3 linked regions of the Stegostoma tigrinum genome follow. The protein of the gene in region 1 interacts with the protein of each later gene in a pairwise test. Links are inferred from orthologs where the notes say so. Each region holds a gene or a part of one and is shown in the gene's direction. Other genes may lie near its edges.

Region 1 (7,790 bases):
AAGATAGGTGGAAAGAGTGTTGGTGGGGAGGTAGGGAGGGGATAGGTCAGTCCAGGGAAGACGGACAGGTCAAGGAGGTGGGATGAGGTTAGTAGGTAGCTGGGGGTGCGGCTTGGGGTGGGAGGAAGGGATGGGTGAGAGGAAGAACCGGTTAGGGAGGCAGAGACAGGTTGGACTGGTTTTGGGATGCAGTGGGTGGGGGGGAAGAGCTGGGCTGGTTGTGTGGTGCAGTGGGGGGAGGGGACGAACTGGGCTGGTTTAGGGATGCAGTAGGGGAATGGGAGATTTTGAAACTGGTGAAGTCCACATTGATACCATATGGCTGCAGGGTTCCCAGGCGGAATATGAGTTGCTGTTCCTGCAACCTTCGGGTGGCATCTTTGTGGCACTGCAGGAGGCCCATGATGGACATGCTTCAGGACATGGTCAAGCAGTTTCAAGGCCGAAGAGATTACAAGAGAGTTGCAATGGGAGAGAGATTCCCTGAGGTTGGTCCGGAGGGAGGAGGGTAAATGCTACACCTGTCCCCACACCTTCTCCCTCACCCCCATCCCAGGCCCCAAGATGACATTCCACATTAAGCAGAGGTTCACCTGCACATCTGCCAATGTGGTATACTGCATCCACTGTACCCGGTGCGGCTTCCTCTACATTGGGGAAACCAAGCGGAGGCTTGGGGACCGCTTTGCAGAACACCTCCGCTCAGTTCGCAACAAACAACTGCACCTCCCAGTCGCAAACCATTTCCACTCCCCCTCCCATTCTCTAGATGACATGTCCATCATGGGCCTCCTGCAGTGCCACAATGATGCCACCCGAAGGTTGCAGGAACAGCAACTCATATTCCGCCTGGGAACCCTGCAGCCATATGGTATCAATGTGGACTTCACCAGTTTCAAAATCTCCCCTTCCCCTACTGCATCCCAAAACCAGCCCAGTTCGTCCCCTCCCCCCACTGCACCACACAACCAGCCCAGCTCTTCCCCCCCACCCACTGCATCCCAAAACCAGTCCAACCTGTCTCTGCCTCCCTAACCGGTTCTTCCTCTCACCCATCCCTTCCTCCCACCCCAAGCTGCACCCCCAGCTACCTACTAACCTCATCCCACCTCCTTGACCTGTCCGTCTTCCCTGGACTGACCTATCCCCTCCCTACCTCCCCACCTACACTCTCTCCACCTATCTTCTTTACTCTCCATCTTCGGTCCGCCTCCCCCTCTCTCCCTATTTATTCCAGTTCCCTCTCCCCATCCCCCTCTCTGATGAAGGGTCTAGGCCCAAAACGTCAGCTTTTGTGCTCCTGAGATGCTGCTTGGCCTGCTGTGTTCATCCAGCCTCACATTTTATTATCTTGGCCGAGATCTTAGTTTGTTTGTATAATCCCATTTAGATTTGCAAGTAAATCCATTTAAGAAAACACCAGCAAGACATGAGTCTTAAACAAGATGAAGGTTTGTTTATTACAAAACATTGCTTCAAGTTCCTTAAGTAAAAGTAATAAAGTAACTTTATTGAAATAAAATTCAAGTCAGATTTTTATGATATTGTTGCAGGTCTGTACTTTGCAGGTAAATGTTGGTTATCTGAAGTGAGGGTTAAAATCAAAGAGTTATAATGTCTTCTGAAATAAAACAGTCAGAGTTTAACTTTGTAGGTTCACTCAAAAGTTGGACAAATTGGCTGAGCAGTTTAAGGAAGTGAGTAAAGGGCTTCTTTTTACTAGTTCTGGAACAACAACATTTGAAAACTATTGGGATTTCTTTTCAACAGAACAGGGATGGATTGCTGAACACCTTCCTCAATAACTTACAGTGAGTGAAAACCCAACTCTCACACGCAAGTCATTTTGTTCAATCGAGAACTGTGGCCTGCAGCTGTCTTCACAGGTTCTCCTGAGATCTCTGTGCACAATGACTGACTGCATCCCATCCAGACCCTTTGTTTTAATTTGAATCAATCTGTTTTGATACATTATGAGAGATCTCTGGAACAGGTAGGACTTGAACACTTGCCTTCTGCCTCAGGGATAGGAACACTGTCACTGCACCACAAGAGCTTCAGACATCCAGACTATCTGATCCAAATCAGCCGTATTCCAAACATTTGAATCGTGCTTCCATATTAGACATTGGGTTAGCTCATGTCTGAAGCATAGTCCCATTCATTTCTTTTAACCTTTTAACTTGAGACAATTAAGAAGTTAATTTGAAGAGCTTCCATTCTTCTAGGTTTGGTGAGATAGGATAGAGCTATTTAGATACCCAGGGAAGTTATTGTCAATGAGTTTCTATTTGTCCTGATGGAAAAATTAATTAAAAGTTAAACACTAGTGATGCTTTTTGAGAAAAGTCCAATCAGTTTCCTCCAGCTGGCTAATTGAAGTTGAACTCACGAGAAGTCGTGTTACCTTTTGGTATACATGTTTGAAAGCTCGTGTATCCATTTTTTAAAGTACAATAGTTTGTTACAATCTATATAACATGTTTCTGACAAAATAAATTAGCACTTCCTTGGAAACAAAAATAAATTGCTGGAAAGCCTAAGTAGGTCTGGCAGCATCTGTGGAGAGAAAGCAGACTTAACAACTCAAGTCCAGTGACCCTTTTTGCGAACTGTAGCACAATTGTTATATGTGCTAAAGATGGTATCAGGGGAGGAGTAAGTGATCAATGGTGGTGGAGCCCGAGAGAGAAAAAACACTAATGGGCTGACAGAGGAATGGGTAAAGGCAAGCCTGAGAGAATCAATAGCTGCTAATGGGGAACTTTAATGGCTGACAATGGGTAGCAGCCCACGTGATGATAATGCCTGATGTGCAGGGGTTGGGGTAAGGACATGAGAAAAGGGTTTTAACCCCTTCAATGATTGAACTTGATATTGAGACCTGAGGCTGCAAGAAATGTTGTTCTTTCCTGTTTTCACTGAACTTCATTAAACACTGCATTAAGCCCAAGACAGAAGTTAGCCAGGGAACATGGTGAGGTGTTGAAGTGGCAGGCAACAGGAAGCTCGGTGTCAGAACGTAGGTATTCTGCAAAGCAGTTGTCTAGTCTACATTTCATCTCCCCTGTGTACAGGAGATCATAACTGTGAGCAGAGAATACAGCAGTCTAGATTCAGTGAAGTGCAAGTAAATTACTGCTTAATTTGGCAAGTGTGTCTGGGGCCTTGGATTGTGAGGCAGGAGAAGTAAACAGACAGGTGTTACACCTTCTGTGATTGCATGGGAAGGTGCTGTGGGACTGACAGCAAAGGTCCTATGAGCTGAAGTGATATTAAGTACAAAGGAAGATTCTTATAATTGTTGGAGCCTTGGTCACCCCGCAGACATGTCCATAATCACAATTACATCACATCCTTGTACAACTGTTTGCACTTTTTATTTGTCTTAGTGCAAATGCTCTGTGTATTCAACTAAACACCTCTGACATTTAAAACAAAATTGTATGCTAGCCTATTTGTTGTTAGCCCTTGTTTCCCCTGTCTTCCACATTTCTATTTCTCATTTCCATCTTTGTTTCCCTCAGTCTTCCTTCCCCACTCAGGTTCCTGTCCTCTTGCCACTCGAGTTTAAAGACTTCCCTATGTACAAACAAATGTGAGCATATTGATGCCATTTCTGCAGTGGTGCAATTTATCCAGCTTGTACAGGTCTCTTCTTCTCCAGAATTGGTCCCAATGCTTCAAGAATCTAAATCCCTTTCTTCTACACCATCCTTCTGCCACACAATCATTCGGTCTATTTGTTTCATCTCCCCTTGGCCTTCTCAAGAAAAACACCCAACAGCTCCAATCTATCCTAACTGAACTTTCTTGTTGGAGGAACTATTTTCATAAGCCTCTTCTGCACGTGCTTCTTAAAGTGTGGTATTCAGAATCATAGACAATAGTCCAGCCGAGGTCTAACCAAGTGTCTTATATAAATTCAGCATATCTTAATCTATGGCCCTTTTATTAATCTTTTAAAATTTTATATGTTTTATTAACTGTTCCTGTCTGTTCTGTCACCTCTAATGACTTAAGCATTTTACACCACAGCCTCTCTGCTCGTACACAATCTTTGGAATAGTACCATTTGCTTTATAAGGTCTCTCCATGTTCTTTGGATCAGTTTTCCACATGAAGCAAGGACATTGGGGACATTTAAGAGACTGCTGGACATGCATATGGTCACAGAAATTTGAGGGTGCATACATGAGGATCAATGGTCGGCACAACATCGTGGGCTGAAGGGCCTGTTCTGTGCTGTACTGTTCTATGTTCTATATCCAGTCAAGCAGATTGATTGAGCTTCGTTCTATCTGACATGGCTGAAGAGTTCAGCTTACATTTTTGTGCTCAACAACCGACATAGAGATTGAACCCAAAACTCTGAAATCTAGAGATAAGAGTTACACCAATTGGCCTACGAGAGCCATGTTTTTTCCCACCACCTTAATTATATTTTCCCACATCATTCTGAAGAGAGTGTGTTTGAACGTACCCACGTCTCCGACCGTAAATGGTCCCCCAAATGCCCTGGTCCTCCCATACCTTCACTTTCAACGGGTCATCCTAAACATTGGCCTCATCCCCCTCACAATGCCCTATGACACTGATCTTCCCATCCTCTCACAACCAAAATCTTCCTCCATCAACGCATGTCCCCTCCGTCTAGACCCTTGCTGACTGAGTCTTCCTCCGTAATCCTCCAGTATCCCAACATGCCGCAGCTGGAAGGCCGGTAACTTCCTCTCCTGCTGACCCGAGCCGCAGTTAACCCGCGGAATCGATGATCAGTTTAAAAGGAGTGAGCGGAAGCTACTTTCACCTATCAATTTCTCCCGGTTTAACGGCAGTTTCGATCCGGTAGCTAGCTTGCTTTTAAAACAGTTTTTTTTGTTTATCGGATGGTGTTTCCTCTGTGTGTGGGAGGGAAGCTGGTTGTGACCACGAGAAAGCGGCGTCTTCCGCACCAGGGCACTACAGAACTAAGGCCACGGTTCAGCTCGTCCAGAAATACAGGATGACAACTGGATTTGGTTTCGGTACCACGGCCGGTAACACTGGCGGCTTCACTCTCGGAGTGTCCAGGTAAATACCTCATGGCGACGTGTCTGTGGCTTTTGTTCCGTTTCATTTAAGCTGAGAACTGATGGGTTGAGTTTATAAGCAAACTTGTGTCCGAGTTACAAAGTTACCTAAGTCATGCCTTCCACAAAATAAATAGCATGACTTGTTCCGATAAGTCAGTACACATTGTTTGTGATCAATTTTAAAATCATCTCAAGTTCTCCAGTTTACTGATGGTCTTAGTTTTTATCTCAAGTATTGTGCGTTTTGTGAATTATTGCACCAGACTTCTTATTGTGCATTAAATTGTGTTAAACTTTTCCCATAGTAATCGTTGGCGAACAAAACAAAGTCATTCGAGGCGTTGTGCCCATGCTTGTAAGAGCTTTGCTAGTCCGCTCCCCATATTTACTTGGATAGTTTTTTTTATCCCTTCAAATAATTTTCTGAGATTAATAAGGTGTAGAGCTGGATGAACACAGCAGGCCAAGCAGCATCAGAGGCTGAAGAAGGGTCAAGGCCTGCAACGTCAGCCTTCCTGCTCCTCTGATGCTGCTTGGCCTGCTGTACTCATCCAGCTCTACACCTTGTTATCTTAAATTCTCCAGCTTCTGCAGTTGCTACAATCTTAGAAACAATTTTCTGAATCTCTTTCGAAAGTCACTACTGATTCAACCTCTGCCATAGTCACAGGAAATGCATTCCCGGAACTAAATAATTCATTAAGAGTACCACTTGTATCCCCCTAGTCCTCACAGATCACCCCACCAACCTCCGGATACAATGCATCATCCTCTGACACTTCTGCCATCTACAATCTGACCCCACCACCAAAGACATTTTTCCAACTCCACCCTTGTCTGCCTTCCAGAGAGACCACTCTCTCCGCGACTCCCTTGTCTGCTCCACACTCTCCTCCAACCCCACCACACCCAGCACTTGCCCCTGCAACTGCAGGAACTGTTACACCTGCCCCCACACCACCTCCCTCACCCCCATCCCAGGCCCCAAGATGACTTTCCACATCAAGCAGATGTTCACCTGCACATCCGCCAATGTGGTATACTATATCCACTGTACCCAGTGTGGCTTCCTGTACAAGTGGAGGCTTGGGGACCGCTTTGCAGAACACCTACACTCGGTTTGCAATAAACAACTGCATCTCCCAATCGTGAACCATTTTCACTTCCCCTCCCATTTCTTAGACGACATGTCCATCCTGGGCCTCCTGCAGTGCCATAATGATGCCACTCGTAGGTTGCAGGATCAGCAACTCGTATTCTGCTTGGGAACCCTGCAGCTCAATGGTATCAATGTGGATTTCACCAGCTTCAAAATCCACCCCCCCATCCCAAAACCAGCTCAGCTCATACCCGCCTCCCTAACCTGTTCTTCCCCTCACCTATCCCCTCCTCTCACCTCAAGCCGCACCTCCATTTCCTACCTACTAACCTCATCCAAGCCCCTTGACCTGTCCGTCCTCCCCAGACTGACCTATCCCCTCCCTACCTCCGCGCACACATTCTCCTCTCCACCTATCTTCTCCTCTATCCATCTTCGGTCCGCCTCCCCCTCTCTTCCTATTTATTTCAGAATCCTCTCCCCATCCCCCTTTTCTGATGAAGGGTCTAGGCCCGAAACGTCAGCTTTTGTTCTCCTAAAAATTCTGTTTGGCCTGCTGTGTTCATCCAGCTCCACACTTTGTTATCGCTAGGTCTTTACCATTCGCCTCACTTCTATGACCCCTTCTTCTTGATCCCTCTGCCAATATAACTGTTTTTAATAATCAAATTTGTCCATGTCCCTTATGATAGAATCAATCACACAATGCAGAAACAAACCCATTGGTCCATCTTGTCTGTGCCAACCAGGCATCCCAATCTGACCTAGTCCCATTTTTACCAGAATTTAGCCCATACTCCTCTAAACCTTTCCTATTTTCACAGCAATCGAGTTGCTTTTTAAAAGTAGTAATTGTACCCGCCTCCACTACTTCATCCCACAGTTCGTTCCACGCACTCTCCACCTTCCACGTGAAAAAGTTACCCCTTGGGTCCTTTCTAAATCTTGCTCTTCTCACCTTTAAACATATGCTCTCTAGTTTTGGACTCCCCACCCTAGGAAAAAGACCTTGGCTATTCACCCTCCCAGCCCCTCTTAATTTTATAAACCTCTACAATGTCACTCCTTGGCCCCTGATTCTCAAAGGAAAGAAGCCCCAGCCTATTCAGCCTCTCCTTTTAAGGAAACCCTCCAGTCTTGGTAACGTTTATATAAATCGTTTTTGTACCCTCTCAAGTTTAACAACATCTTGGAATGGAGACTAGAATTATATGCAGTATTCTAATAGTAGCCTCACTAATGTCTCCCTTTTGTCAACAGTTCCCAGGTATTAAACAATTCTGATCAAAACTCTTGACAACCTTTACTTTTCTAAGGAAAACCTCAGTTTTGCTGTCCTGTCCGTATAACTGAAGTGTCAGACTTGTAGTCATTCCTGTAAATCTTTTCTACACTCTTGGTAATGTTTCCCATCTTTCTTGTATAGATTTGACATTCACATTTGTTCATGTGGAATGTCTGTATGTTTGTAAGGATTCTGTTGTATTCCATTTTGAAACAACTGAAGCACTATAATCTATCTTGGCCTTTATCTGACTTGGTTATTATCTCCTTTAAAGAATGTAGTAATTTTGTCAAGCCTGATGTTTCTCCACATGAAACCGTGCTGACTGACT
Region 2 (7,058 bases), on another chromosome or scaffold:
GTTGGGATCTGTGCAGGAGACCAAAATGGAGCATCCACTTGGCACTTCTGGATGAAAATTGTTGCAATGTTGTGTTGGGAACTCCAATCATCCAGAATGGAGATACTTCTAAAGTCTTTTCCTCTTTGTTTGAGCTGTTTAATTGTCTACCAACACTCATGACTAGATGTGGACTACAGAACTACTGAACTTCAGTATGATTTGTTGGAAACGGAATTGCTTAGCTCTGTTTATCACTTAAAGTTTTAGCTGTTTGTACAAGTCATCCTGTGTTGTGTTTTCACCAGGTTTTCTTTTAATTCATTCACAGGATGAGGGCATCCCTGGCTAGGTTGCTATTTATTTCCCATCCATAATTGGATACATTGCCCATCCATAATTGCCAAGAGGGTATTTAAGAGTCAATCACAATGCTGTGGGTATGGGTCTGGAGTCACATGTAGTCTAGACTGGGTAAGGATGGCAGTTTCCTTCCCTAAAGAACGTTAGTGAACCAAATGCATTATTCCATAATGGATTCACGGTCACCTTTAGACTCTTAATTCCAGTTTTTTTTATTGAATTCAAACTCCACCAACTGCCTGGGTCTTGGGATTAACAGCCCAATGATAATACCATTAGACAATCATCTCCCCTGGATTGGGGTAACACCTCATCTTTAGGAACAAAAACAGAAATTGCTAGAAAAGCTCAGCAGGTCTGGCAGCACCTAGGGACAGAAATCAAAGCTAATGTTTTGAGTCCAACGACCCTTCCTCAGAATTAGGGGCATCCAGGTTAGGTGGATTAGCCATGGTAAATGTGGGGATAGGGTTGGGACTTGGTCTTGGTGAGATGTTCTTTGGAGGGTCATTATAGATTCAATAGGCTGAATGACCTCCTTCTGCACTGCAGAGATTCTGTGACATGAATAAACTAGATAGGGATTTTCTTGACAATTGTTTAATGATTATCTTTTAATTCTGGATTTCATCGACATCAAATTTCACCATTTGTTGTGGTGGGACTCAAACTTGGTTCACCAGAAAATTACCTGTGTCTCTGGATTAGATAGTCCATTTACAATACCTCCACATCTCGCCTGCGCTGTCACAGAATTGTTGATTTTGATATGGGCAAAGTCAGAAGTCACATGACACCAGGTTATAGTTCAACAGATTTATTTGAAATCACACATGCTTTTGGAGCATCTCCCCTTCATCAGGTGCAGTTAAGGGGCTGCCTTCCGAAGGACTATAACCTGGTGACTTTGTCCACCCCAGTCCAACACTGGCACCTTCACATCCTTGATATAGATAGGCAGTACAGTTGATGATGATATGAGGACATATTTCTGTTATTAATGAAAATCTTCAAGGGTTGCATCTTCACCCTGCTGGACACCAGGGAGAAACCTCTTTTATAGTCAGTGCTGAGGCAGCTGTATTTGTCTAGGATAACAGCAATGTAAATCCATCAGCACTCAGCTTCTCCATTGGCAATACCTCAGCCATGCATCGCCTTGGTAACACACAGAAACTAGGTCCTTCATGGCCCCAGGCTCACCTTCTGAGGAACACAGAGGAGGTTTCTGCCTTGGACCTGCAGCATGCGGGCCCACAGGCATGAACACGATGTGGCACTTACAACAATGTGTGACTATCTCCTCTGCCTGGTGGATACTTTCGAAAGGTGGCGGCTAATAAACGCTGACAATAAAAACCCAGAGTGGACTGATCTTAACAGTCACTTCTCTGGAACATCCTGAAACCAGGCCAACTGTAGCTCTGTGCATTCGTTATATGACTTAACTAAACTGGGAAGTCCGAATGGAGGACTGTGATGTGTGGGCAGGCCAGGGTGTCCCTCGTCTTTGCCCTAGATGAGAGCATTCTCAAGATAGATAGCTGACAAGCATTCAGTCTGACACAAAACACCCTACAAATTGTCAGCTCTGCTATAACATAGTAGTCTGTGTTCCCCTGCATGGTCACATTATAGAAAATCGTGCTATAGAAATAACAGGATCTATGAGAAAAGTGGAGTTGAGGCAAACTACCAAAATTATCACTCAAAATCATTTGAAAATCACTCAAAAGCCTTTCACAAAGGATGGCACAGTTTAAATGAAAAAATAAAAGTAAACTTAACACCTTCCCTTTAAAAAATGTCAAGATGACTTGATGGGGGAGTAGGTTTTGAGGTTGCTGTGTTGTTAATGCAGACGCTGAGGGTAATCATCATGATCTTCAGGTGCAGCTGTGGTTGCAGGGTTTGGGCAAAAAATAATTAATCCAGAAGTGGATGGATGTGGTTCATTGTCTTCTGACTGTTTCTTGGGGGGAATAAGATATCCAGTATTTGCTGCTTTGCCCTTTTTCTTCTTTCATGAAGAAACTCTTCATATGCTGCCAAGTAAGGTCTTATTCCTTGAACTGCTACCCTGCTGCATTCAGCAATGTATTCATTGTCCTTTAACAGGTGCAACTGCTTCTCAATTTCCCTCAGGATAGAAGAAAAAACAGAAGTGGAAAGCTTTCGTGGTGCTGCATCATGGACTTCACCTTCTTCATCCCCAGCTTCCATTTCCCCCTCAGCGACAAGTTGTTGTAGATCAGCTGTAGAGAGTCTTCACTGTGGGACTCAAGCAGCTCTTCAACATCTCACTCTCCACTTCTTCAAATCCAACGTGCTTTGCAAATTCAACATAACGTTCTTTGATTCTAGAGAGCTCCTCTAACGCATCAAAGCCTTTAAAATCTTGAAAAAAATCTAAGAAACTTCCACCAAACTGCATGCAAACAGTCCTTGCTGACATCACCTCAGGCATCCGCGATAATGTCAACTGCATTCTCGATGTTAAAGCTCTTCCAACATTGAGGAACACTGTCCTCATCCACCGCAGTGGCTGCAATCAGCCACTGAAATGTTCGTCTGAAATAATAAGCTTAAAAGCTGCTATTGCACCCTGGTCCCTGGGTTGAAGGAGAGAGGTTGTGTTTGGTGGTAGAAATAGAACGTTGATGTTTTCAGAAACCTCACCAATGGCGGGAGGATGGCTTGGCGCATTATCCAGAATGAGGAGAATCCTGAGATCTGATTTTTTTTCCCCTACAATATTTTCTAAAAATATTTTCCTGAACATCACCAATAAGGTCATCTGTACACCAATGGAATTGCATTATAGCCACCACAAGTTCACGTTTTAGAAATAGTGTTCCCTGATTTGTCAGTCGCATTATAAACAATTCGCATTGCCAGAACATGCATTATAGCAGAACTGTTTGGTTTTATGATGCCCAGGAAAACAACTAATACAGCCAATATAAAACAACAAAGTGAGGATACTGCAAATCTGAAAGGAAAACAGAAAATGCTGGAGAAGCTCAACAGGTCACCGTGGTGGGATAGCATGGTGCCTCAGTGATTATCTTTGCTGCCTCACAATGCCAGGGGCTTGGGTTTGATTCCAGCTTTGGATGACTGCCTGTGTGGAGTTTGCATGTTTTTTTTATTAGATTCCCTATTCTCCCTGCATCTGTGTGAGTTTCTGTTTGTGGTTCTGGTTTCCTCTTATAGTCTAAAGCTATGCCCGTTAGGTGAATCGGCCATCTTATTGCAGTGGTTGCAGTGTCCAGGGTGTGTACGCTAGGTGGATTAGCCATGGTAAATTAGTCTGGGTCTGGCTCAGATGCTCTATGGAGAGTCATTGTGGACTCGATGGGCTGAAAGTCTTCTCTCCCCACTGTTGGGATTTTATGAAGTCTGTCAGTATGTGTGGAGAGAACACAGAGTTAGCATTTCAGGTCCAGTGACCCTTCTTAAAAACTATTTTGGTCTGCTCACATTGTGTTTTATCATAGTATTGCCCATCCCTGGCCAGGTGCGATGGGGGTGGACTCACGAGAACTGCGCTGCGACTTTCCACAAACAGGGACGAGACACGCCGGACAGGGCTGCGCACGCGCGCACATTGCGGTGAGGGTGGCTTCGTACGCAGGCGTGTAGCCGGCTGCAGACGCTCTCTGCGCCTGCTCAGTGATTTGAAAGATGGCGGGAGTGACGGTGGATTTGGTAACGGACGATGAAACGGACAACAAGGATTCGGGCACTTTCATCAGCGGTGACTCGGATTTGCCGGCCGTCTTCCTCTGCTCACAGTGTCGGCTACCGGTGGGAGATTCGCTGGCCTGGGTCGGAGCAAACCCGAAAGAGGACATGATCTATCTGAGCAGTGAGTGGGGGGTGGAGTTGTCCCCTAGCCCGGGGGGATGGGAGGGGGGTGTGTTCCGGTGTTTTGTGGGGATGGCTTGAAGGGGGGGAGGTGGGAGATGTATGTGTCCCAGTGTGTTGTGGGGATTGGGGGCGGAAGAATTGGTTTAGGATGCCCAGTCCACAGAGAGTGCTTGAGAGAATTCCTGCATTAATGCTGGAAATTTGGGGTGGGGGGGAACCATTTAAGTTTTTAAAATTGATGCACAAGGTGGTTAAATGACACTTTTTGATGTTTGAAATTTAGACTTTAATAAAACAAATCTGAACAAGAAATTGAAACAGAGATAATGGGAACTGCAGATGCTGGAGAATCCAAGATAACAAAGTGTGGAGCTGGATGAACACAGCAGGCCAAGCAGCATATCAGGAGCACAGACTCTTCGTCAGAAAAAAGGGAGGACGAGAGGGTTCGGAAACAAATAGGGATAGAGGGGGAGGCGGATCGAAGATGGTTAGAGGAGATGATAGGTGGAGAGGAGACAGACAAGTTAAAGGGGCGGGGATGGAGCCAGTAAAGATTCCAATATCTGCAGCAATTTTCTCATTCATTAGTCTCAATATATTTTACTCTCCTCATAGTTAATTTTGTATTAAAATATATAAATAAATGTAATTGAATAGATAAAGATACTAAAATTTGCCTTAAGTCTCTGCTAATATGACTGTGTGGGTTTTCCTTATGTTGGAAAGTCTAATGGTGAAGCAGGGATGGGGAAAAGTCATACTCACAAGTGGTGATTACATACTTTAATGAGCACTGTATTTCCAAGTTGACTAATGGTTATTTTAAAAAAAAGCCAATTAAGCATACAACTTTGTGTGCGGGAACACCATTCATGTAAGCACTGTGAATTTTGTTGAAATCACTTCAAACCTTTGTGGCTGCTGGATAAGCCATAGTAGAATGGCTTGTGTGCCAGATCTAATTGAAGTTTGATATTTATTTTGTATATTTAAGTTATAACTTTGCTTGACTCTTGTCAGGATCATAGAGTAACAGGGATAAGAAGGTTACTTCCTCAGATATGTTTTTAAGGTGAGGTTCTAAAGTGTCATACATGATATTGTATTGTCTTTTAAAGATAGATCCACTTTTATTTTGATATTGAATATTTTAGGTGGTTGAATGCACAAAGAACATGGCCTTTTGTAGGCAGCTGGTCATTGTACCTGAATTTTAGACTCGTAAGCTGATAACCTGTTGCTCTTCTCTAGGTGTTACTAACAATATCAAAGTAGACAAAGAACAGAAGGTAGACACTGCAGATGAGTCTGGTTGGTAAGTATGTTGACTTAGTGCAGATTTTTGAGTACAAGTGAAGGAAAGTCTTTTTTAAATGTGGTGGATGCAACAAAGTCCATTCATTCTATCAAATCTTTTATAGCAATTAAACTATGCTTCTGTAAGCTCATAGTCCTTTAGTTTTTAATTGTTTGAAATTATTTTTGGAAAAATTGTTTTCTTTTGGCTTTATCTTTGTCTCTTAATTCCATCTTTCTTTTCTCTTCTCCACATGATTTAACATTTGTTTAATAAAAAGTTCAAATTTGGGCCTTCTAGTTCTGTGTGCCTTGGTTGAAACTCTTCAGTTTCCTGGACACATGCTCCTTCAGCTAGTCTCAGATCCACTATGCAGAGTGCCACACCAAAATAGATTTTTAATTGCTTCGAGTCACTGCATGAAAATCCACTAAAATATCTGTGGACAGTTGTTTGCTTAGTGAATTGTGGCACTGTTTGTTTGCCTTTTACTGCAAAATTTGGACAAATATATTCCATTTATAGAGTCAGATCGATGTTGCAAGTGACTTTTCAACTGCAACCAATGTGACATTTCCTTGTGGCATCATTAAAGCAGAATGTTCAGAAAATAGGTCTTATAGGTTAACTGAACAAAATAGCATGTGTTCCCTGTTACAAAGAATCTATTTTACTGAGCAGTGTTCTAATTTTCTTCATTTAACCTTTTTCCATAAAGGAAAATTCTTCCATTTCATTCCAGTGCGTTTGTGCACTAAACATATGTTTGCAGTAACTCCAGGTATTTTCATCCTTCAAATTTCTATGAAGCTCAGACTTTTTTTACTTTTTTCAACTGGCACAGGGATTATTGACCCAGCATTAAAGTCTTTGGATTTGGCTAGGTTGGAGGTTGATTTCCTTTTGGATTTTAAAAAATGTGTTCATTCCTTCTGTTTAGAGGATGCCGGCGATATAGCTAGCAATTTTAGTGTATGTCCATTGATAGCAGACATATGGTCACTTCTTTGACAATGGAATAGAAATACAATTCAGCAAACTATTGGAAATACTGTAAAGGATGCAATATCCTATTCATTGTGGATGGACTTGATGAATAAAATGTCAGTTGCCAGAATTGGATGAATACAATGTCTGGGATTCTGTAAACATAGTAACATGTTAATCTCGTGTCCTGTAAAAATGACAAACAATCTACAAAATCTTCCAAAAGAATGGGTAGTCTAAACAAAACCGGGCGCCAATGAATAATGTTACCTTTCCAGCACTAAAACCATAAGATAGAGAAGTAGAATTAGGTCATTCAACCCTTTGAGCCTGCTCCGTTGATAGATGAGGGAAGGGCTGTAGATGTCATGTACGTGGACTTCAGTAAGGTGTTTGGTAAGGTTCCCCATGATAGGCTGGAGAAAGTAAAGCCGCATGGGATCCAGGGTATACTAGCTAGATGGATAGAGAACTGGCTGGGCGACAGGAGACGGACAGTTGTAGTGGAAGGAAGTTTCTCAAAATGGAGAACTGTGACCAGTAGTGTTCCACAGGG
Region 3 (7,409 bases), on another chromosome or scaffold:
GTTGGGAGGCGGGGGTGTGGATGCCAAGGGTGGGTGTGGGGATTGGGGTGGTGTTTGGGAGGTATGTGTGGGGATTGGGGTGGTGATTGGGAGGTAGGGGAGTGGATGCTAAGGGTGGGAGTTGGGAGGTGGGGATGGTGATTGGGAGGTCGGGGTGTGAATGCTAAGGGTGGCATGGGCTTTGGGGTGGTGTTTGGGAGGTGGGGGTGTGGATGCCAAGGGTGGGGGTGGGGATTGGGGTGGTCTTTGGGAGGTAGGGGTGTGGATGCCAAGGGTGGGGGTCGGGAGGTGGGCGTGGGGATTGGGATGGGGTCGGGGGAGGGGCCGGGACTGGAAGCGGGGACAAGACGAGCGAAAGCCCCGCCCCTGATGAATATGCAGCGGTCTGTCCATTGCGGGAGGCGGGGCATTGGGGCAGCACCGCCCAGCCCCTGATGAATATGCAGCAGGTTGCGTGCCGGCTGTGGGGCGCATGGCGCGGCGTGTACGTGCTTACGTAGTGCGCTGTGTGGGGCTGATTGCTGCAGCGAGGTGTCAGTCTGATGAAGATTGGCATTCAGGTAAGCTGTCAGTCAGCGCCCGCGGCCGGCCCCGCTTCCCGCCGCCGCCGCCTGGCTGCCCGCCTCCCGCCCAGCGGGCCCGGGGCACGACGGAGGGCTGGGGGAACAAACCACCCGCTCCCGCAGCCCGTCCTCACTCAGAACGGGAGCGGCGACCAACCTCGGCCCAGCCCGGGGCCTTTCCCTTTGTGTCGCCGCCTGCGGATGGCGGCGGGGCCGGGGTAGGGGTGAGAGAGGGTGAGGCGCGCTCGTGCGCGTGCCCGTCTTTGATGCTGGGGTGACGGGACCGCGCAGCGGGGGTGGGTCGCGGGGCGCAGTCCCGCGGAGCTTCCTGGTTGGTTGGAAAATGGCGCAATTGGACAATGGCGGCGGGGCGGTCGGGTGCTTTTTTTTTCTTTTTTAATTAAAAAGCAGCAGTGGTTTGTGCGCTCTCCAGCCCGGGTTTGGGCATCAAGCAGCAGCCTAATGGACAGGCCCAGGATTTATAGCCCAGGCACACTGTAATTCAACAATAAACTACATCCTGATTAAAAATTACAGTGAAACTCAAACTGAGCTGAGAGACAAAAGCTGTGTGAGGACGCTAAATGGTTAAAGCATTAAAACAGGCTTATTGTGCCAGGCTGGATGGCATCTATACAGATAGCACTGAAATCAAAACATCAGGAAATAATATTCTTGGCATCAGACAGAAAACTCTCCTCGTCCACTCTTCATCTAATTCCCTTTGAAAACAACTTTAAATCAATAAGTGTCTTCCACATCGATTCTTTTGGCAAAAATATTATCTCTCACTTTTTGATATCCATCATTATCCACAAGGATATCCAAAGATTTGTCAACTTTAGTGATTTTTTTTTGAAGTAGGCAATGAACAAAGAGTTAACGGGCATTGCAATAATTGTAGTTTGCATGACTTTCCAGTTTTTCATCAAATGGCTCAGTGCCTTGGCAATTTCTTAATAAGAAAATGTTCCTGTTTTCACTTTCTCATTTTGTCAAATATAAACAGATCTGTGGACTGAAAATCTGTGTGCATTTTTGCAGACCATTACTGAAACACCCCTCTCTGCACACAACACCTCTGTATCCCTGCCCCTGTGTCTCCTTCAGTGTCTTCAAGGGGTTGTCACAACCTTCACACTCTGCCAACTGTATTGTTGATGTAACTTTTAAAGACCAACTCTGGTTGGATGTGTTCTGGGAAATGACTTCTCATGATCACTCACGTTTAAATACTGCTCCATAAAATCCTGGCATTGGTTGCCCAACATGTCAGTCATCACAAAGTCTGAACTTCCCAAATTTTTATGTCAGCCCCAGTTTTGACTTTTGAAAATCTGGTCTGCCTAATGCTAATTTCAAACAGGTGCTGCACAATGAAGGCCACAGTGTGTCGAGTCATAGAATCCCTGCGGTGTTGACATAGGCCATTCTGGATTGGAAGATTAGAAAAGAGAACAGATTAGCAGTTGAAATTTCTTATTTTGGCACCAAGTGTTATCCTTCAGGAGCTACAGTTATACACCATACTTTGCAGAAATTATTTGGATCGAGCAGCTGGAGATGTGATTGTGAAATTAGCAGTTTGATACCAAGTTGAAAGTAGACGTGGAAATGATACCAAATGACAAGAAGGCAAATAGATTTAATAAGACATATGAGCAGAAGAAGGCCAATCAGCCTGTTAGGTTTACTTCAGTGAGATCATAGCTAATCTGTTAACCCTCAGCTTCATTTTCTTGCATTTTCCCCATAACCCTTGATTCCCTTACTGCTTAAAAATCTATCTCAGCCTTGAATACGCTAAATGGCCCAGACTTGACAGCCCTCAGTGGTAACGGTTTCCACATTTTCCCAAATTATATTCCATCTGCCAGGTTTTTGCCTACTCACTTAATCTGACTATATTCCGCTATAGACACTTTTTGTGTCATCCACACCATTTGCCTTTCCACCTATTTTTGTGTCATCTGAAAATTTGGCTACAGCATAATTACTCATAATTGCAGACCCAGCATTGATTCCACTTGTTACGCCAAACCACTTGTTACAGGTTGTTATCCCAAAACTGCCCCCTTATCGCAAATCTCCGTCTTAGTTAGCCAATCCTCTGTCAGTACTAATACATAACGTACAACATGACTGGCTTATTAGCTGACCTGAAGTGTGGCCTTTTATCAATGTCTTCTGTAAATCCAAATACGTTATGTGCATGATTTCCCTTTCATGAACCCATGCTGATTCTGCATATCGTATTCAATATTTCTATAAGCAGTTATGTTCCATGGTGTGCAGATGTTTCATTACCATTCTAGACAACATCATCGGTGCGACCTCTAATCAAAATGTTGGTGTTCTGCTTCGTTCTGAATTTATTAGATCCTCTGGTGTGGTAGGTCTTGTCATTTACGGTTCTGTTTTTAAGCAGTGGTGTGTACACGGGGTCTATTTCTATGTATTTGTTAATGGAGTCCTGTGTTGAGAATCAGGCTTCCAGAAATTCCCTTGCATGCCTGTTGTTCGCTTTTCCCACTATAGTCACTTTGTCCCAGTTGAACTGATGTCCTCATTGGCTGTGTGTATCAAGACAAGTGTATATTGGCCATGTCTTTTTACTGCCAGCTGGTGTTTGTGTATCCCAGTCATCGGTATCCTCCCCATTTGTTCAATTTAATGTTTTTGCACTCACTGCATGCGATTCTGTGTATCACATTAGTCCTGATTACAGTCGGTATGGGATCTTCAGTCTGTAACAACATTTGACATAGTGTTGAAATAGGTTTGTGTGCAGTTAATGATCTTACGCAGACTTAGGAGTCTGGTTGTTACTTCTGATATATTTTTGATGTAGGGTAGCGATGCTAGTGTCTTCTTTTGTACCGTGTCCTCTGACTGTCATTTGTTTTGTAGGCCCCAGCGGACAAAACTTCTTGCGTATCTGTTGTCAGTGAAAACTTTGTGCAGGTGTACCTCTTCCATTCTCCTGAGATCTGGGGTGTTGCAGTGTGATACGGCTTGTTTAAATAATGTCCTAATGCAGCTCTGTTTGTGTATGGTGGGGTGGTTGCTATTAAAGTTCAGGAATAGGTCAGTGTGTGTGGCCTTCCTGTGTACACGGGTCTGGAATTCACCGTTAGTCTCTCTAGCATTACCTCTAAGAATGAGAGCTGTTTGTTGTTTTCATCCTCTTTAGCAAATTTTATACTTGCGAAGATGTTGTTAACAAGTTAATGGGTTTTTTCCCTACTTTTGTGCATTTGATTATTACAAATGTGTCGTCCATTTATATTATCCACAGTTTGAGTTGGGACACGAACGACAACCTCAGCAAGGACAGCTTACTGAAATACTAGATTTCTGCCTCACAACGCACTTCACATTCACTGGCCAAATATACAAACAGATCAACGACACATTGATGGGATCACCCATATCAGGTCTCATTGTGGAAGCAGTGATGCACAGACTGGATATCGCAGCCCTTCCTGTAATCCAGCTGAAACTGTGGATGAGATAAGTGGACAACACATTCATAATAATCAAATGCACAAAAGTTGAAAAAACCCACCAACTCGTTAACAACATCTTTGCAAGCATAAAATTCACTAGACGCAAAGAAAACAACAAACAGCTCCCATTCAAAAACAAAAGTTGCTGGAAAAGCTCAGCAGGCCTGGCAGCATCTGTGAAGAAAAAAAAAAATCAATGTTCATGTTTTGGGAAGGGTCACCAGACCTGAAATGTTAAATCTGCTTTTTTTTCTTCACAGATACTGCCAGGCCTGCTGAGCTTTTCCAGCAACTTTTGTTTTTATTCCTGATTTACAGCATCCGCAGTTCTATCAGTACTTAAACAGCTCCCATTCTTCGACGGAATGGTAGAGAGACTAACTAATGCCGAAATGAAGTGTACAGGAAGGCCACACAAATGGACAAAATCCTTAACTTCAATAGCAACCACCCCACCATACGCAAACTCTGCATTTAGGTGCTACTTAAACAAGCCGTAATATGTTGCAACAACCAAGAAATCCGAATACCCAAGAAGTTTCACCTACAAAACAAACAACAGTCAGAGAACATAGTACAAAAGAAGACACCAGCATCGCTACCATACATCACAAATATATCAGGAATGACAACCAGAGTACTGAGACCTCATAAGATTATATTGTACACAAATCTACATCAACACTACGTCAAATGCTATCAAAGACTAAAGACCCCATACCAACAGCAAACAGGATTAACGTGATATACAGAATTAAATGAATCAAGTGTAATGAAGAAACTGACGACCAGGATGCACAAACACCAGCTGGTAGTAAAAGACGCGACCGATATTCACTTGTCTTGCTACACACAGCCAATGAGGGCCATCAGTTCAACTGGGACAAAGTGACTATACTGGGACAAGCTAACAACAGACATGCAAGGGAATTTCTGGAAGCCTGGTTCTCAACACAGGACCCCATTAACAACCACATAGCAATAGACACTGTGTATACACCGCTGCTAAAAAACAGAACCGTAAGTGACAAGACCCACCATGCCAGAGGATCATATATAAATTCGGAACAGAACAAAACACCAAAGCTTTGATTAGAGGTTGCACTGATGACGTTGTCTAGAATGGTCACGAAACATCTGCACACCACAGAACAACCAGCTCAGCGAGTTAACAGGCAACTGCATTCACAACCCGAGGGACAAGTTTTCGCTAAGACCGTCAAAATATTTCTATATGCTTTGCTATTACATCCTTTATAATACAGTCTAACAACTTCTCAAAAATGGAGTGTTTGAGTTGTAAGGAGAGGCTAGGTAAGCTGAGACTTTTTCCATTGGAGAAAGGAGGTTGAGGGGTGACCTTAAAGAGGTGTATAAAACCATGAGGAGGATAGGTAAGGTGAATGGCAGACGTCTCTTCCCTAGGATGGAGGCTGTCAAGACTAGGGGGCATATTTTTAAGGTTAAAAGAGAAAGAATTTAAAAAGACATGAGAGACCATTTTTATTTTACAGAGTTGTCCGTGTGTGGAATGAACTTCCAGAGCAAGTGGTGGATGCAGGGACATTTACAACATTTGAAAGATGTTTGGATAAGTACATGGATGAGAAATGTTTGAAGGGAAATGGCCCAAGCTTAGGTAGGTAGGACTAGTTTAGTTTGGGATTATGGTCAGCATGGACTGGTTGTTTCTGTACTGTATGATTCGATAATAACAGACATTAAGGTAACTGACCTAGAGTTACCTGCTTTTTCCCTTTGCGAAATGCGTGATAAATGACAAATTAAATTTAACACAGAATGAGGCTGTTCAAGTTGGTAAAAGAATAAAGGAGCTGCTTATTCTTTGGTAAAGGAAAAATAAATAGGATTAAAGAACAATGAATCAAGTGAATGCAAATATACAAAGGTGAGGCTTTAGAGTATTTAATACTGGAGTTTATTTCTGGGAGAATGAAATACAAAACCACATTATTGTTAAATTTATATAGCACCTAATTAGCCACCACTTGGAGTAATGCTTTCAATTCTGGTGTAGTAGCCATTCTGTAAATTGGAACATAAAATGATAAGAAATTAAATCAGGAGTAGGCCTTTCAGTCTGTCAAGCCTACCCCACTATTCATCAAGATCATGACTGATCTCATTATGGTCTTGACTCTACTTTCCTATATGCCCTCTTGCCCATCTCCCCCTTGACTCCCTTACTGATCAAAAATTGATATAATATCCTTTGAACTGATTCAATGACCCAGCCTTCATTGGTCTCTGGGAAGAGCATTCAACAGACTAATGAACTACTGAGAAAAAATTCTCATTATCTCTGTCCTAATGTGAGATTTCTAACTTTTAAAATGTGATCTCCAGTTTTAAATTCTTCCAAAAGGGGAAACATCTTTCCAGCATCTATCTTGTCAGGTCTTATCACCTCACAGTACCCTAAACTCTCATAGATACAGGTCCAACCTGCTCAGCTATTCGTCAAAGACTGAGTCTGCATGCCAGGAATGACACAAATACACCTACTTTGAATGCATTTGAATAAACATATATCTCTCTTTAAGAATATTGACCAAAACCGTGCACTGTAGTCTAGCCGTGGTCCCAGCAATGCTCCGTACAGTGCAGCAAGATTTCTCTGCTTTTATATTCTATCTCATTTAAATTATAACATTTCCATTTGCCTTTCTAGTTACTTGCTGTACTTGCATACCAACTAAAATGTGATGCACAGAACTCACCAAAATACTCCAGATCAGATGGAATCTGTATTTTGCTCTAGTTTAACAGTTTGCTTGTTTTTGTACTCTGTGCACTGATAAAGCATAGAAATCTGAATGCTTTGTTAACCAGCATCAACTTGTTCTCCACCTTCAATAATTTATGTACAGGTAACTCCCGGGTTCCTCTGCTCCTACGGCTCCTTTAGAACAATACCACCACTGTTTTTCTATATTATTCCTACGAAAATGATTCACTTCACACTTCTTCACATTTGACTTCATCTGCCACCTGCCGGTTCACTTCACCAATTTATTGGTATTCTTTTGAAGTCTACATTGTCCTCCTCAGATCACAAAGTTTTCACATTCTGTATCATCATGTTTTGAAATTGTGCTTTGGCTCCCCGAAGTCTAATTAATATATGTCAAAAAGGGCAGAAGTATCACTTGCCACTAGTCAGCCCAAGCCTGGATATTGTCTTGATCTTGTTGCATTTGAACAAGGACTGCTTCAGTATCTGAGGAGCCATGATAGGTGCTGAATATTGTGCAATCATCGGCGAACATTCCCACTTCTTACCTTTTATGGAAGGAAGGTCATTGATGAAGCAGCT

The links.
Region 2: the proteins of nup58 (region 1) and mis18a interact in binary tests that used the Homo sapiens proteins (3 or more experiments, as listed by UniProt). The link is inferred for Stegostoma tigrinum from reciprocal best matches to the Homo sapiens genes NUP58 and MIS18A.
Region 3: the proteins of nup58 (region 1) and homeobox protein PKNOX1 interact in binary tests that used the Homo sapiens proteins (3 or more experiments, as listed by UniProt). The link is inferred for Stegostoma tigrinum from reciprocal best matches to the Homo sapiens genes NUP58 and PKNOX1.

What each region holds. Positions count from the first base shown.
Region 1 is NC_081359.1:76,633,055-76,640,844, forward strand, and holds the start of nup58 (nucleoporin p58/p45), read left to right. Parts: upstream 1-4,688; 5' UTR 4,689-5,005; coding exon 5,006-5,073; intron 5,074-7,790. UniProt on the Homo sapiens protein: Component of the nuclear pore complex, a complex required for the trafficking across the nuclear membrane.
Region 2 is NC_081365.1:24,796,235-24,803,292, reverse strand, and holds the start of mis18a (protein Mis18-alpha), read left to right. Parts: upstream 1-3,987; 5' UTR 3,988-4,029; coding exon 4,030-4,213; intron 4,214-5,469; coding exon 5,470-5,533; intron 5,534-7,058. UniProt on the Homo sapiens protein: Required for recruitment of CENPA to centromeres and normal chromosome segregation during mitosis.
Region 3 is NC_081365.1:428,684-436,092, forward strand, and holds the start of homeobox protein PKNOX1, read left to right. Parts: upstream 1-4,335; 5' UTR 4,336-5,682; coding exon 5,683-5,711; intron 5,712-7,409. UniProt on the Homo sapiens protein: Activates transcription in the presence of PBX1A and HOXA1.